2 linked regions of the Macaca fascicularis genome follow. Each later gene encodes a partner of the first gene's protein in a complex. Links are inferred from orthologs where the notes say so. Each region holds a gene or a part of one and is shown on either strand. Other genes may lie near its edges.

Region 1 (6,841 bases):
TGCGTGGCCTGCACCGGCTCCAGCTCTGGGGACCAAAAGACAGTCAACTGAGTTCAACCTCACCCTGGCGCAGGAACAGGGACACAGCCGCCCCAGGAGGCTCAGGCTTCAGTGCTGACCCAGCGCAGGCACCGTGTGCCAAGCCACAGGCAGCCAGTTGGCCACGAGGACACCAAGGTGACACCTAGGAAGCTGACACCATTTGAGCTCCTGGCCGGTGACAATGGCGGAGGAAGAGGGAGCCCTGACCCCACCCCAGAGAGGGTGGGTTGGGGGGGTGGCGACGGGAATGGCAGCCTCACATCCACAGCGACAGCAGGCATGGGACACACGACAGGAACAGTGCCCAGGTTTCCCTCGCATGGTAGGCGACAAATGCACGTCTCCACTCTCACACTCACCACCAGCAATCCCACCAAAAGATTCAGACGTTACAGCCACAGGCATGCAACGGAGACACTACACACACAGTGTGTACACACAAGGGCCGACAGACAGCAGCTCCCATCAGGACAGTCATAGGGCCACCAGCAGAGTCACAGCTGCCAAGTCACACATACACGAGAGACGCCGGTCTCCCAACCACAGGAGGTACAGCCAATTAGGAAGGCACAGACGCCCTGAGAAGAGTCGGGCGCCATCAACCCTGCCACGCTGTCGTGTGGGAGATGACAGCACAAAGGCAGCACTGGGGACAGAACCCGCGCACTGACAGCAGGACCCCCCGCCCCCGCCATGGCAGCCAGCATCCCCAGCCCCGCACCTCCCGGCAGCTTCTCCTTCTCGCCGGTAGACAGGCCCAGCTGCTCGGCCAGCTCCTTCTGCATGGGACCCAGCGTGTCCTTGTAGGGGCAGCGGGTGGTCCAGTGGTCGCCCTTGCAGATGCGGCAAGACACGATCTTCTGGCCCTTGAGTTTGTTCATGGGGTCCTCCTCCTCCTGGCAGTTCAGGTCCTGGCAGGGGCGGGTTGTGGGAGCTCAGAGGCGGCTGAGGCACCCCCTGTGCCCCACCCCAGCACGCCAGCCCCCCCGAACGCCCTGCTCACCTCTTTGCTGGTGATGAACGTCATAGAGACGTCATCACTGACGGTGGTGGTGGCCACATTGGGTCCCGGGGGGTCAAACTCCGAGTTCCCGAACTTCTTCCAGTTCTGGGCTCAGGGGGGGATGGGGGACAGTTGAGGGCAGGGGCAGGCAGGGTTCCACAGTGGGGTACCCTAGACCTACAGCAGCCATCCCCAGAGTACCTGGGCCTCGAACCCCATTTTCATCCTCCTCAACCACTCCCCAAATAGTCCTGGCGACAGTTCCCATTTCCTGAGTACACGCCAGGCCCAAGCTCCAGGTGACAGCTGTACAGCCTGGGGCCTGTGCAGGCTGGCGGACCAGCTCCCACCAGGGCGTGATACTCAGGGATGTGCAGGGGTCTACCCAGACCTCCGGGCCCTTGAGCTAGACAACCTGAGCCTCAGCTTCCTCCCTTCCTCCCTTATCAAACGGGAACCACAAAAGCTTCCTGCCTCCCTGGGCTCCTAAGGAGACTGAATCAGAGAGACACTCCCTGCAAGGCGTTTGCCATGGGGCATGTTACAATTAAGTGCACAGCAAGCTGTTCTAAGTGTATTTATTGCTAATGCCTCTAACTGCTGCGACCACCTCCTGCCTCTGTTCCTCCAGGCTGACAGGCCAAGAGGAACAAGAATCTAACCCCGGCTGGGCCCGGTGGCTCCCTCCTGTAATCCCAGCACTTTGAGAGGCAAAGGTGGGAGGATCTCTTAAGCCCAGGAGCTGGAGACCAGCCTGGGCAACATAGTGAAACCCCATCTCTACAAATAATTAAAATTAGCCGGGTGTGGCAGTGCACACCTGTAATCCCAGGTTGGCTTGAGCCTGGGAGTTCAAGGCTGCAGTAAGCTATGATCGTGCCACTGCACTCCAACCTGGGCAACAGAACTGGACCCTGTGTCTTTAAAAAAATTAAAAGAATCTAACTTTCACTCGATATTTATAATGGAATTTATTTGACATTTATTAATATAATTTGATATCTATCATCAAACTTTTATTAGATATTTATCATTTATTTAATCGCTATTTATCATCGACTCCTATGCCCTGGACTTTCCAGAGTCCCAAGAGAGTGTAAGCACTCCAGGCCTCAGTTCAGCTTCAACAAAATAGGTACAAAGAGTTAAGCCCGGCTGGGTGCGATGGCTCACGGCTGTAATCCCAACACTTTGGGAGGCCGAGGCAGGTGGATAACGTGAGGTCAGGAGTTCGAGACGAGCCTGGCCAACATGGCAAAACCCCGTCTCTACTAAAAGTACAAAAATCAGCTGGGCGTGGTGGCGCATGCCTGTAATCCCAGCTACTCAGGAGGCTGAGGCAGGAGAATCACTTGAACCCAGGAGGCGGAGGTTGCAGTGAGTCGAGATCGTGCCACTGCACTACAGCCTGGGGGACAGAGCGACACTCTGTCTCAAAAAAAAAAAAAAAAGAGTTAAGCCCCATCTCTTAACAAAAAGGTCCCGGAGCACGGTTTCCCAATTCCTCTGGGTTAGCCCTGGGGAAGGAGCGCCTCACCTTCCTCCTTGCAACAGCCTTTGAAGCCTTCCGGGTCTCAATCCTGAAGGTGCGGACAATCTGAGGATGGCAGGGGAGAAGGGTCAGGCTTCTGGGACTAGGGGATCTCCTTTACCAACCCCCTCAGCATACCCCGCCGCCTTCTGGTCTAAGGGCCCCCCTACCCTCACCTTGAACTTCTTGCCATCCTCATCTATCTTGTACTCTGTCACTGTCTTTATGTTTCCGTTGATGACTTCCTTGGGAGGTGGCAGTGGAGCTGGGAGAAGGGGAAAAACAGAAGGACTGAGCCCTGGGTCATGGGGATCAGGAGCGGCAGGGCTGGAGGGAGAGGCAGCCCGGACACGGAGTGGCAGTCCTCACTCACCTCCCGGCAGTAGCTCTGGCTCTGGGCTGGTGTCGCCAGTGGCCAGAGGGATCCCCTTGAGGAGCTCGCTGGTGACACATTTGTCTGCAAGAGGCAGCGTGGGGAGGAGGGGTCAGGTCCAGGGCAGGAGCTCCCCAGCTGCGATGGAAGGGCCTTTGGGATGATGCCTACAGCAAGAGCTGAGAAAGGCAGGTCAAGGGCAGAGGGCTGACCAGGCAGCGCACTGGGATAGCCCTGTGGGGACTTGGAGTGGCAAAGATGGGGGATCCCTCGTAGGAAGGTGGGTGCCAGGCCATGAAGCCAACCAGGCGCCAGTAGAGAAACAGGAGACGGGAGATTACAACTTCCTCCCTGGAGTAAGGCAACAGCTGGGAGGACTTCGGCAGTAACATGGGAGGAACAGGGACCCGCCGGGGAACACCTGGAGTTGGCAACAGGCAGGTCCCAAGGAGGATGGCGCGGGGCAGGGGCTGGTCGTGACGGGGGACACGGTGCCAGACTGCGAGATGGAAGCAGGCGTCAGTCGCCCGGCTCGGGCCTGGCCGCGATTACCCCGCGCGACCGGGTACACTTACCGTCCTCCCCCTCCTCCTCCACCTGGTCAGCCCAACTGGGCTTCGAACTGCGGAAACAAATGTGTGGGAAGCGAAGATTAAGTCAGCAAGGCCCGGTCCCCGCAGCCTCGGCACACCCAGGCCCCATAATACTGCCCAGAGCACCCCAACCGCTTCCCATGCCCCCCTCCGCGATCCCGGACTCACTCAAAGTCTCCAGTAGGCATCGCAAAAAGTATTCTCCACGCAGCCCAAGCCTGGCCAGAGAGCGGAAGTGGGTGGAAAACGAGACTTCCGGTGTCGCCGTCGCCGCTAGAGAGGCCCAGCCGCGGCACCCACAACGACACCTGCGGACGGAGGTGGAGGCGCACGCGGCTGTGTGTGCTGCTGAACGCTGCTGGTACCAGAGCAGGGCTGGCGGGGCAGAGGCTGATTTCAGTGCTGGTCCTATTAACCTTTAAAATTAAAATAGGCGGGGCGCGGTGGCTCAAGCCTGTAATCCCCTCACTTTGGGAGATCGAGGCGGGCGGATCACCTGAGGTAAGGAGTTCGAGACCAGCTTGGCCAACGTGGCGAAACCCCGTCACTACTAAAAATACAAAAATTAGCTGGGCGTGGTAGTGCGCGTCTGTAGTCCTAGCTACAGATTGGAGGCTGAGGCAGGAGAATCGCTTGAACCCGGGAGGTGGAGGTTGCAGTGAGCTGAGATTGCGCCACTGCACTCCACCCTGGCGACAGAGCGAGACACCGTCTCAAAAAAAAAAACAAAACAAAAAAAACCCCACACACACAAAAAACCAAAATTAGCCAGGCGTGGTGGCGGGCGCCTATAATCCCAGGGACTCGGGAGGCTGAGGCGGGAGAATCGCTTGAACCCACGAGGCGGAGGCTGCAGTGAGCCGAAATCACACCACTGCAGTCTAGCCTGGGCTGCAGAGTGAGACTCTGTCTGAGAAAAAGAAGTAAAATTAAAATAAATAATAATAATCATAACAAGGCTCACTTATTGAGTGCTTGTTGTATATGAAGCACGGTGAGGAGGATATTACTTCCATTTTACAGCTGAGGAAACTGAGGCTCAGACTGGGTCCGGTGGCGCATGCCTGTAATCCCGCACTTTGGGAGACTGAGGTGTGGGGATCGCTTGAGGCCAGGAGTTTGAGACCAGCCTGGGCAGCATAGTGAGAACCCCTGTCTCTAAAACAGAAAAAAAAAGAAAAAAGAAACCAAAGCTCAGGGAAAACAATCCTTTTGCTTAAACTGTTCCTTATCTTCTTTCCCGATCTCAATGATTCAGATGCCAAGTCGCCCCCCTCCCCAGCCACTCCCTCTTCTTTTCTTTGTAGCATTCTTGGCTTTCCGGTATAATTTTGTGCATTTACTTCTTTATGGCTCAGCTGCTTGCTCTAAGCACAACCGTCCTCAGTTGGAGTGATTCATGATGACTCCCCAGGGGAAAAAACTGCTTTTCAGGGAGGAAAAAAATCTTAGATATTGTGGTCTTCTAAAGCCAGCTCTATCAGCCATCTTATTCCTAAGTATTTAGTTTCTGCCTTTAGGGAGATATTAAATGTAATTATATTGAAATTAATTTAGTTGATGTAAATTCAATTTTAGAATAATTCGGGTTTTCTCCTAAGGAGGGTGATATGAACAAAAAAAGTTTGACAATGCCGGATGCAGTGGCTTACAGGTGTAATCCCAGCACTTTGAGAGGCCGAGGCGGGCAGATCTCTTGAGGTCAGGAGTTCAAGACCAGCCTGGGCAACATGGCGAAACCCGTCTTTACTAAAAATACAAAAATTAGTTGGGTGTTGTGGCCCGCGCCTGTAATCCCAGCACTTTGGGAGACTGAGGCAGAAGGATCACTTGAGCCCCGGAGTTCGACCAGCCTGGGCAACACATAGCAAGACCCCCATCTCTAAAACACATTTTTTTTGGGGGGGGATGCAGTCTCACTCTGTCGCCCAGTCTGGAGTGCAGTGGCACAATCTTGGATCACTGCAACCTCTGCCTCCCGGGTTCTAGAGATTCTCCTGCCTTAGCCTCCCGAATAGCTGGGATTACAGACTACGGCCACCATGTCGTGCTAATTTTTGTATTTTTAGTAGAGATAGTAGAGACAGGGGCCCGCCTCAGCCTCCCAAGGTGCTGGGATTACAGTTGTGAGCCTGGCCCCTAAAAAAAAAAAACAAAAAAAAAAAGAAAACAACAACTTTAAAAAAATTAGCTGGGCATAATTCTGTGTGCCTGTAGTCCCAGATACTTAGGAGGCTGACGTGGGAGAATAGCTTCAGTCCAGGAGGTTGAGCCATGATCACACCACTGCACTTCAGCCTAGGCAACAGAGCGAGACTCTGTCTCGAAAACACAGACACAGACACACACACACACACACAGACACATACATGCAACAAACAAAACAAAACAAACTTGTAAGGGAGAATGGCCTGAGAAAAATAAAGAAGAAGACAGGAAAAACAAAGTTTATGCTGTTTATCCTCTGAGGTGTGAGTGAGGAGGCCACTCAAGGGTTTAGAATATCACCAGCTTTTCTTGTGGAAAAAATTATTCTAGAAGCCTGTAGAGACCCAAGTGGAAGGAAAAACATTAGCTGGAGGCAGGAAAGAGAGGCACACCGCTGCGGTTTGCGGCGGTTTTTCAGGAGGGTGTCCTGGCTATGTATATTGGTGAAAATATGAAGCTGGTCCAAAGGGCTGATAAACATTTGTACAAGCTTACTCAAATGTACTCTGAGCAACACAAAATCCAAACAACCTAGCAGATTGGGCAAAGCTTTAAAAATTTGATATCACCCAGTGGTAGTAAAGATGTTGTAGGGAAACAGGCCAGGCGCGGTGGCTCACGCCTGTAATCCCAGCACTTGGGGAGGCTGAGGTGGGTGGATCACCTGAGGTCAGGAGTTTGAGACCAGCCTGGAAAGCATGGTGAAACCTCATCTATACTAAAAATACAAAAATTCACTGGGCATGGTGGTGGCGGGCGCCTGTGATCCCAACTACTTGGGAGACTGAGTCAGAAGGATCACTTGAACCTGGGAGACAGAGGTTGCAGTAAGCCAAGATTGCCCCACTGCACTCCAGCCTGGGTGACAGAGCAAGCCTCTGTCTCAAAAAAAGAAAAAAACAAGCACGTATGAATTTTCCTTTGAACCAGCTAATAATTCCTGCTGCGAATAAACTTGTAAATATATGCAAAGATGTAAGTAAAATGTCTGCAGTATTGTTTATGATAGCAAAAACTGGAAACACTCATCCACCATCCATAGGGACTAGTTACATAGATGAAGTTATGCTCTACTTTAATCTATAAATTGC
Region 2 (5,921 bases), on another chromosome or scaffold:
GCTCAATGCCTGTAATCCCAGCTGGGAGGCTGAGGCAAGAGGATCACTTGAGCCCAGTAGTTCAAGATCAGCCTGAGCAAAATAATGAGACCCTGACTCTACAAATACATGTTTTAAAAACTTAGCCAGACATGATGACACACACCTATAGTCCTAGCTACTTAGGAGGCTAAGGCTAGAGAATCACTTGAGGCCAGGAATTTGAAGCTGCAGTGAGCTATAATAATGCCATGCCACTGCACTCCAGACTGAGTGACAGAGTGAGACCCTGTCTCTAAAAAACAAAAAAGGAAAGTGTGTTACCTGTAGGAACTGTGAATTCAGTGGGTTTTGCTGGTGGTTCTGATCCTGTGGGGCCAGGATATTTTGAATTACCTTGTAAGAGACTTGGAATTTTCAGCAGCACTAAGTCAGCCTTTGATTTTATTTGACATAGTTTTCAATGTATATATTGTTCTTGGCATTTGGTATCACTAGGTATCCCTACCATAGAGGTATTGGGTACCCTAAAGACACCCATGCCACTGTTGTGTTTGATGTTGATGTCACATATAGACATGAGTCTGCAACTGTGTTCCATTTCACAGGTACGCTACAGGCCATGACATCACAGAGCACTCTGTGCTAATCCATGAGTACTACAGCCGAGAGGCCCCCAACCCCATCCACCTCACTGTGGACACAAGTCTCCAGAACGGCCGCATGAGCATCAAAGCCTATGTCAGGTGACCACAGTCTTGGGCTACAAGGGCATAAAACCATGCCTAGATGCCATCCCTCCCCCACCCCAAGCAAGGTTCATTCCTTCCGTGTGTAACTTGCTGTGTTCCTCTCTCTCAACAGTTATTCAAACGGTTTCACTCTGAAACAGAATCTGTTCCTATAATTTGTACCGCTGATCCTAGTTGTACTCCAGTTTCTACTCATTGCCCTTTTAAGTATTTGAGCAAGCTATCAAGTCATCTTTTGTAGAACCTAATTATCCATAGTTCCTACAGCCAGTCATCACATGGTATTTGAGCAAGCTATCAAGTCGTCTTTTGTAGAACCTGACTCCATAGTTCCTACAGCCAGTCATCATGTGGTATTCTTGTCATGATCCTTCACCACATTCATTACTTTTCTGAATTACCCATTAGTTTGTCATCGTCTCTAGAACTCAGCGCAGTACTCAGGGTAGTACGTATTAAAGGATGACTGTCCTTATTTTGAACACATTAATTAACCCAGGATTGAGTGCAGTTTTAATGACAGTGACATTACAGTGAACACATTGAGCTTGCAGGTGGTTAAAATGCCAGTTAAGGGGGATGTTGGGAAAGGCCCTGGTGGTGTGCTGAGGAAGCAGCTGTGGGAGTTGGAAGCAGCTGTGGGAGTTGGAAAGTCAGAGGGAAGGCAGCTGTTAGTGCATCTGTTAGGCTGTTGATTTCGTGCTGGTTCTGTGTCTGACACTGACAAAGCCAGTTAACTCTTACACAGTAAGACAAAGATGGTGGATGCCAAGTCTTTATGAGCCAGTTGGCATACCACTAAGCACTAGCCATTGCCTGACTTCTTAGCCTTCCCAAGTATTTCAGACTCCTCAAGATCCAGTATATATATATATATATATATATGATCCAGCTGGATGGATGGGTGGGTGGGTGGATGGATGGATGGATGGATGGATGGATGGATGGATGGATGGATGGATGGATAGATAGATAGATAGATAGATAGATAGATAGATAGATAGATAGATAGATAGATAGATAGATACGATAGATAGAGAGTTGACATAGTAAAGTATAGATCCAGGTATATAATTGACATAGTAAAAACAATACCTTTAGTGAGATTACTTATAGCACCCAATCTGATTTGGTGAGCAGGAGTTGGTTTCCTTTTTCAATGCTGATGAAGGGGTTGGTCCCAGAAAAGACTTGTCTCTGTCTCTTTTCCATGGTGGGCAGCTATATAGACAGCCAACTCCATGGGTAATTGAGTCCTGTCCTCTCATCACTGACACTGCACCGTGTGTGAAGTAATCCTCTAAAGGGACCAGGCCAGGTGCAAAGGTTGCGTCCCCTCTTACAGATCAAAGGTTTGGTATGTGGGACAAGCTAAGGGGAGAAAGTAACTTTTGCTCCCATGAGACCTCGGGTTCATTTGGTCCCACCCTTCCTGTCTTAGAACCTTGGGAGCCATATTCCTGCTGTATCTGCATTCTCAGCCCAGAATAGACATGGAAACCCTCTCCCAAGGCCATCTGTTTACCTTGGCTTCTCCTTCCTCAGTACTTTAATGGGTGTCCCTGGGAGGACCATGGGAGTGATGTTCACACCTCTGACAGTGAAATACGCATACTATGACACTGAACGCATCGGAGGTGAGTAACCTTTCCATACTCTCTTGAGAGGTCATAGGCGTTTTCAGGGAAGGGGGCTGCTGTTCTGCAACAAGGATGGAGGCCTTGGGTGGTTTAAAAAGGGACTATTGATCTAAGGTTTGTGAAGACTAGAAGTTACAGTCATCTCTTGTATAAATGGGATTTAAGGAGTTATTTGAGAAACTGTTAAAGGTGGGAAATTATCAGCACCAGAGGCCACATGACCATTCATATGAGATCAAAACCGGTGATGAGCATACCAGGTAAAAGGAGTTGAGCTCTGTTAGGAGGAAGAAAAGCTGATAAGGGCACAGCAGGGAGTGTGATTGAGCAGACTGTCTAAGGGGAGGTGGGAAACAGAGTTAGCAGGACTTTAAGGCCATCTCTTTCCTGGTGGGATGACTGAATTCTCTCTCTTACTGCCCACCACTGCCACTGCCACCCAACTTCCACAGTTGACCTGATCATGAAGACCTGCTTTAGCCCCAACAGAGTGATTGGACTCTCAAGTGACTTGCAGCAAGTAGGAGGGGCATCAGCTCGCATCCAGGATGCCCTGAGCACAGTGTTGCAATATGCAGAGGATGTACTGGTGAGAGGGGAAAGAAAAAACAAAGGGGGAGGACATAGTTCTCCATCCTGGGATTACTGAGGCAGGTGCTGATGAAATGGTAGGGCGCAGTGGTTATAATTAACTGCCTCATTGAGTCTTTGTTTTGGTGCTCAGTCTGGAAAGGTGTCAGCTGACAATACTGTGGGCCGCTTCCTGATGAGCCTGGTTAACCAAGTACCCAAAATAGTTCCCGATGACTTCGAGACCATGCTCAACAGCAACATCAATGTGAGTGCCCTTCCTGAGCCCCTGCTTGCCTGGTTTCTTCCCCTACCTCAGCACATACACTCAAATGTGAAGAGTTGGGTGAGGTGGCCTGGAGTAGGATAGAGACAGGGCTTCACCTATAGCCCCATGGAAGTCCAGGTTGGGAGGAAGGAAGAGGTGTGGTATGCATGTTTGGAGACTTCTTCCTTCTCCCGTGATTACATTGTCTCATTTACTGCTGATGCTACTGTGACTTACTGTCTAAATTTGTGATAGAAAGAAACACTAAAATTCAGAGGTTAAGGAAAATGCAATTACTTGTTTTCCCCATCTGAGTTCACGGACCCCCTATATTCCATCCATGGGTTTCAGCTAAGGCACCCCTAGACTGTAAGTGTCTCAGTAGAGATAAGAAAGTCTTCTCAAGCATTTCTTTTCTGTCGTCTACCTTTTTGACTTTTATTCGGTCTCTCCCAGCTGTCATTTATCCACAACTGTCCTCATACCTAGTGCCCACCATAGAGCCAGCCAGTGCCAGCCTTTTTGCTCCCTTTCCACCCAACCCCCCACTCATTGTGTATTCTTTGTCTTCCAGGACCTGCTGATGGTGACCTACCTGGCCAACCTCACACAGTCACAGATTGCCCTCAATGAAAAACTTGTAAACCTGTGAATGGACCCCAAGCAGTACGCCTGCTGGTATAGGTCTTAAACCCAGGACTCAGAAGTGAAGGAGAAATGGGTTTTTTGTGGTCTTGAGTCACACTGAGACAGTCAACTGTGTGTGACTCTAATAAACATAGCCTACCTTTTGTAAATTAATTTCATCTTATGTGAGTTTATTGCCGGGTGGAAGGGAGGAAAATGTTTTAGATCACACAGAAACCAGGAAGTGAATATTGTAGGTAAAAAAGTTGGTTATGTGTTTGGCAGGTTACTGTTTTACCAAACTGTTCTTTTGGTTTTCAATATGGAAAGGTGTCCATTGGCAAAACTGTACCTTTTCTTGAGGATTCGTGTGATTTCTGTAGGAAATGAAAATAAGAATCCATGGAGAAAAAATAGCTGAGAAAATTGGATGCTTAATCTAAACTAAAAGAGTAGAGTGTGTAGTCACTATCTTAAAATACATTAATAGTAAGATGGAGCTGTCTGCCACTTTAGTTTGGGGAGGGACAATTAAGATCTGTGGGTTAAAGATTAAAGAGGTTTCCCCAAAACTTCAGAAAATTCTTAGGTGCTATCTGTAACTTGAGGGTACAGCCTTCAGTTATATTGAGGTCTGCCAGTGGCTCAATTTGAGCAAAGACTAGATGGCATTTCCCAGAGGCTTTGTAGGCTAGAGTACTTGCCTGTGTAACTTCAGACATCCGTTTCCTCTGGTATCCTGGAGTTCCACCTCACCACTGTGTGTCTTAGAAAGAAACAAGTCATTATTCAAGAACTCAGGAAATTACATATTGGAGTGAAAAGGTGGATGAAGGCAATGGGGAATCAAAAAGGCCTGGATCCTAGTTCTGAGGTATGTGTAGCCTTAGGAAAGATAAATTATTATAAAAGTCATAAGATATGGATCATAAACATACATAGTCCATTAGGGTATTATGAGGATTCCATGAATTAATAAATGTCAGGTTAATCACCACTTGTAGAGAATAGCGCCTGGTATGTAGTAAGCACAGATAAGTGGTAGATGCTATGATACCTAAAGCTGAATAGTTTGAAAGTAATAAGCAATATGAACCCCAGCCTGGAATTCAGTTCTGAGATATGTACCTTAGGAAATACAAGTTATGGGAGTCATAAAGTATGGATAGTAATGATAGATACTTTCTTACAGGTAGGGAAGTGTAAACAGATCTTACTGGCAAAATGGTAATGACAGGCCAAACTGTGAGGTTAAAAGTAGAGAGCATGGTGGGAAGAAGGTTAATCGAGTCAAAAAAGTTTTCTTACATTTTTGGGAGTAGCCAGTTAATATCAACTTAGTCTTTTTAAGTATGCATGATAAAATTCCAAGGTTAATTGCTAGAAGTATATATAATCCCTAAATGAATAGTGATGAGAAATGGTGGGATAATAGGCAAGAAACAAAATTTTAAATTTGAGAAATAAGCATAGAAAAGGTGGATAAAACAAGATGGCAAAACAAGTCCAAATACATCAGTAATTATAATAAATGTGTAAGTATTAAACTAGCCCGAGGAAAAATTGAATATTAAAGCAAACCCCAGTTGTATGTTGTTTACAGGAGACACATCTAAAACAAGGACATATAAGTTGTCCTCCAGCTGTAACAACATAGGTGAATGTTAATAGTGTTGAATGAAAAAAGCTGGTCTCAGAAGACATGCATTATGATACTCCAAAAGTTCAAAAACAAGTGAAACTTGTTTAGACATGCAGTTGGCTGTCTGTATATGTGGGTTCCACATCTATGGACTCAACTAGCTACAGGTTGAAAATACTGAGGGGGGAAATTGTGTCTGGACTAAACCTGTACAGACATTTTTCCTTGTCATTTTTCCCTAAACAATTCAAGTATTAGATAGTGTTTATACTGTATTGGGTATCTAGATGTATTAGGTAATCTAGAGATGACTTAAAAGTATATGAGAAGGTATGCACAGGTTATATCTAAATACTGCATATTAGGGACTTGAGCATCAGAGGATTTCTATATCCAAGGGAGGTTCTGGAACTAATCCTCCACAAATACTAAGAGTTGACTGC

Evidence for each region.
Region 2: EIF3G (region 1) and EIF3F share a complex: the UniProt entries of both Homo sapiens proteins name them as parts of the eukaryotic translation initiation factor 3 (eIF-3) complex. The link is inferred for Macaca fascicularis from reciprocal best matches to the Homo sapiens genes EIF3G and EIF3F.

Annotation. Positions count from the first base shown.
Region 1 is NC_088393.1:10,662,411-10,669,251, forward strand, and holds the start of EIF3G (eukaryotic translation initiation factor 3 subunit G), read right to left. Parts: upstream 3,791-6,841; 5' UTR 3,731-3,790; coding exon 3,711-3,730; intron 3,572-3,710; coding exon 3,525-3,571; intron 3,034-3,524; coding exon 2,950-3,033; intron 2,842-2,949; coding exon 2,753-2,841; intron 2,643-2,752; coding exon 2,583-2,642; intron 1,151-2,582; coding exon 1,046-1,150; intron 954-1,045; coding exon 764-953; intron 26-763; coding exon 1-25. UniProt on the Homo sapiens protein: RNA-binding component of the eukaryotic translation initiation factor 3 (eIF-3) complex, which is required for several steps in the initiation of protein synthesis.
Region 2 is NC_088388.1:57,827,426-57,833,346, reverse strand, and holds the end of EIF3F (eukaryotic translation initiation factor 3 subunit F), read left to right. Parts: intron 1-587; coding exon 588-725; intron 726-2,276; coding exon 2,277-2,368; intron 2,369-2,823; coding exon 2,824-2,960; intron 2,961-3,095; coding exon 3,096-3,209; intron 3,210-3,783; coding exon 3,784-3,861; 3' UTR 3,862-4,010; downstream 4,011-5,921. UniProt on the Homo sapiens protein: Component of the eukaryotic translation initiation factor 3 (eIF-3) complex, which is required for several steps in the initiation of protein synthesis.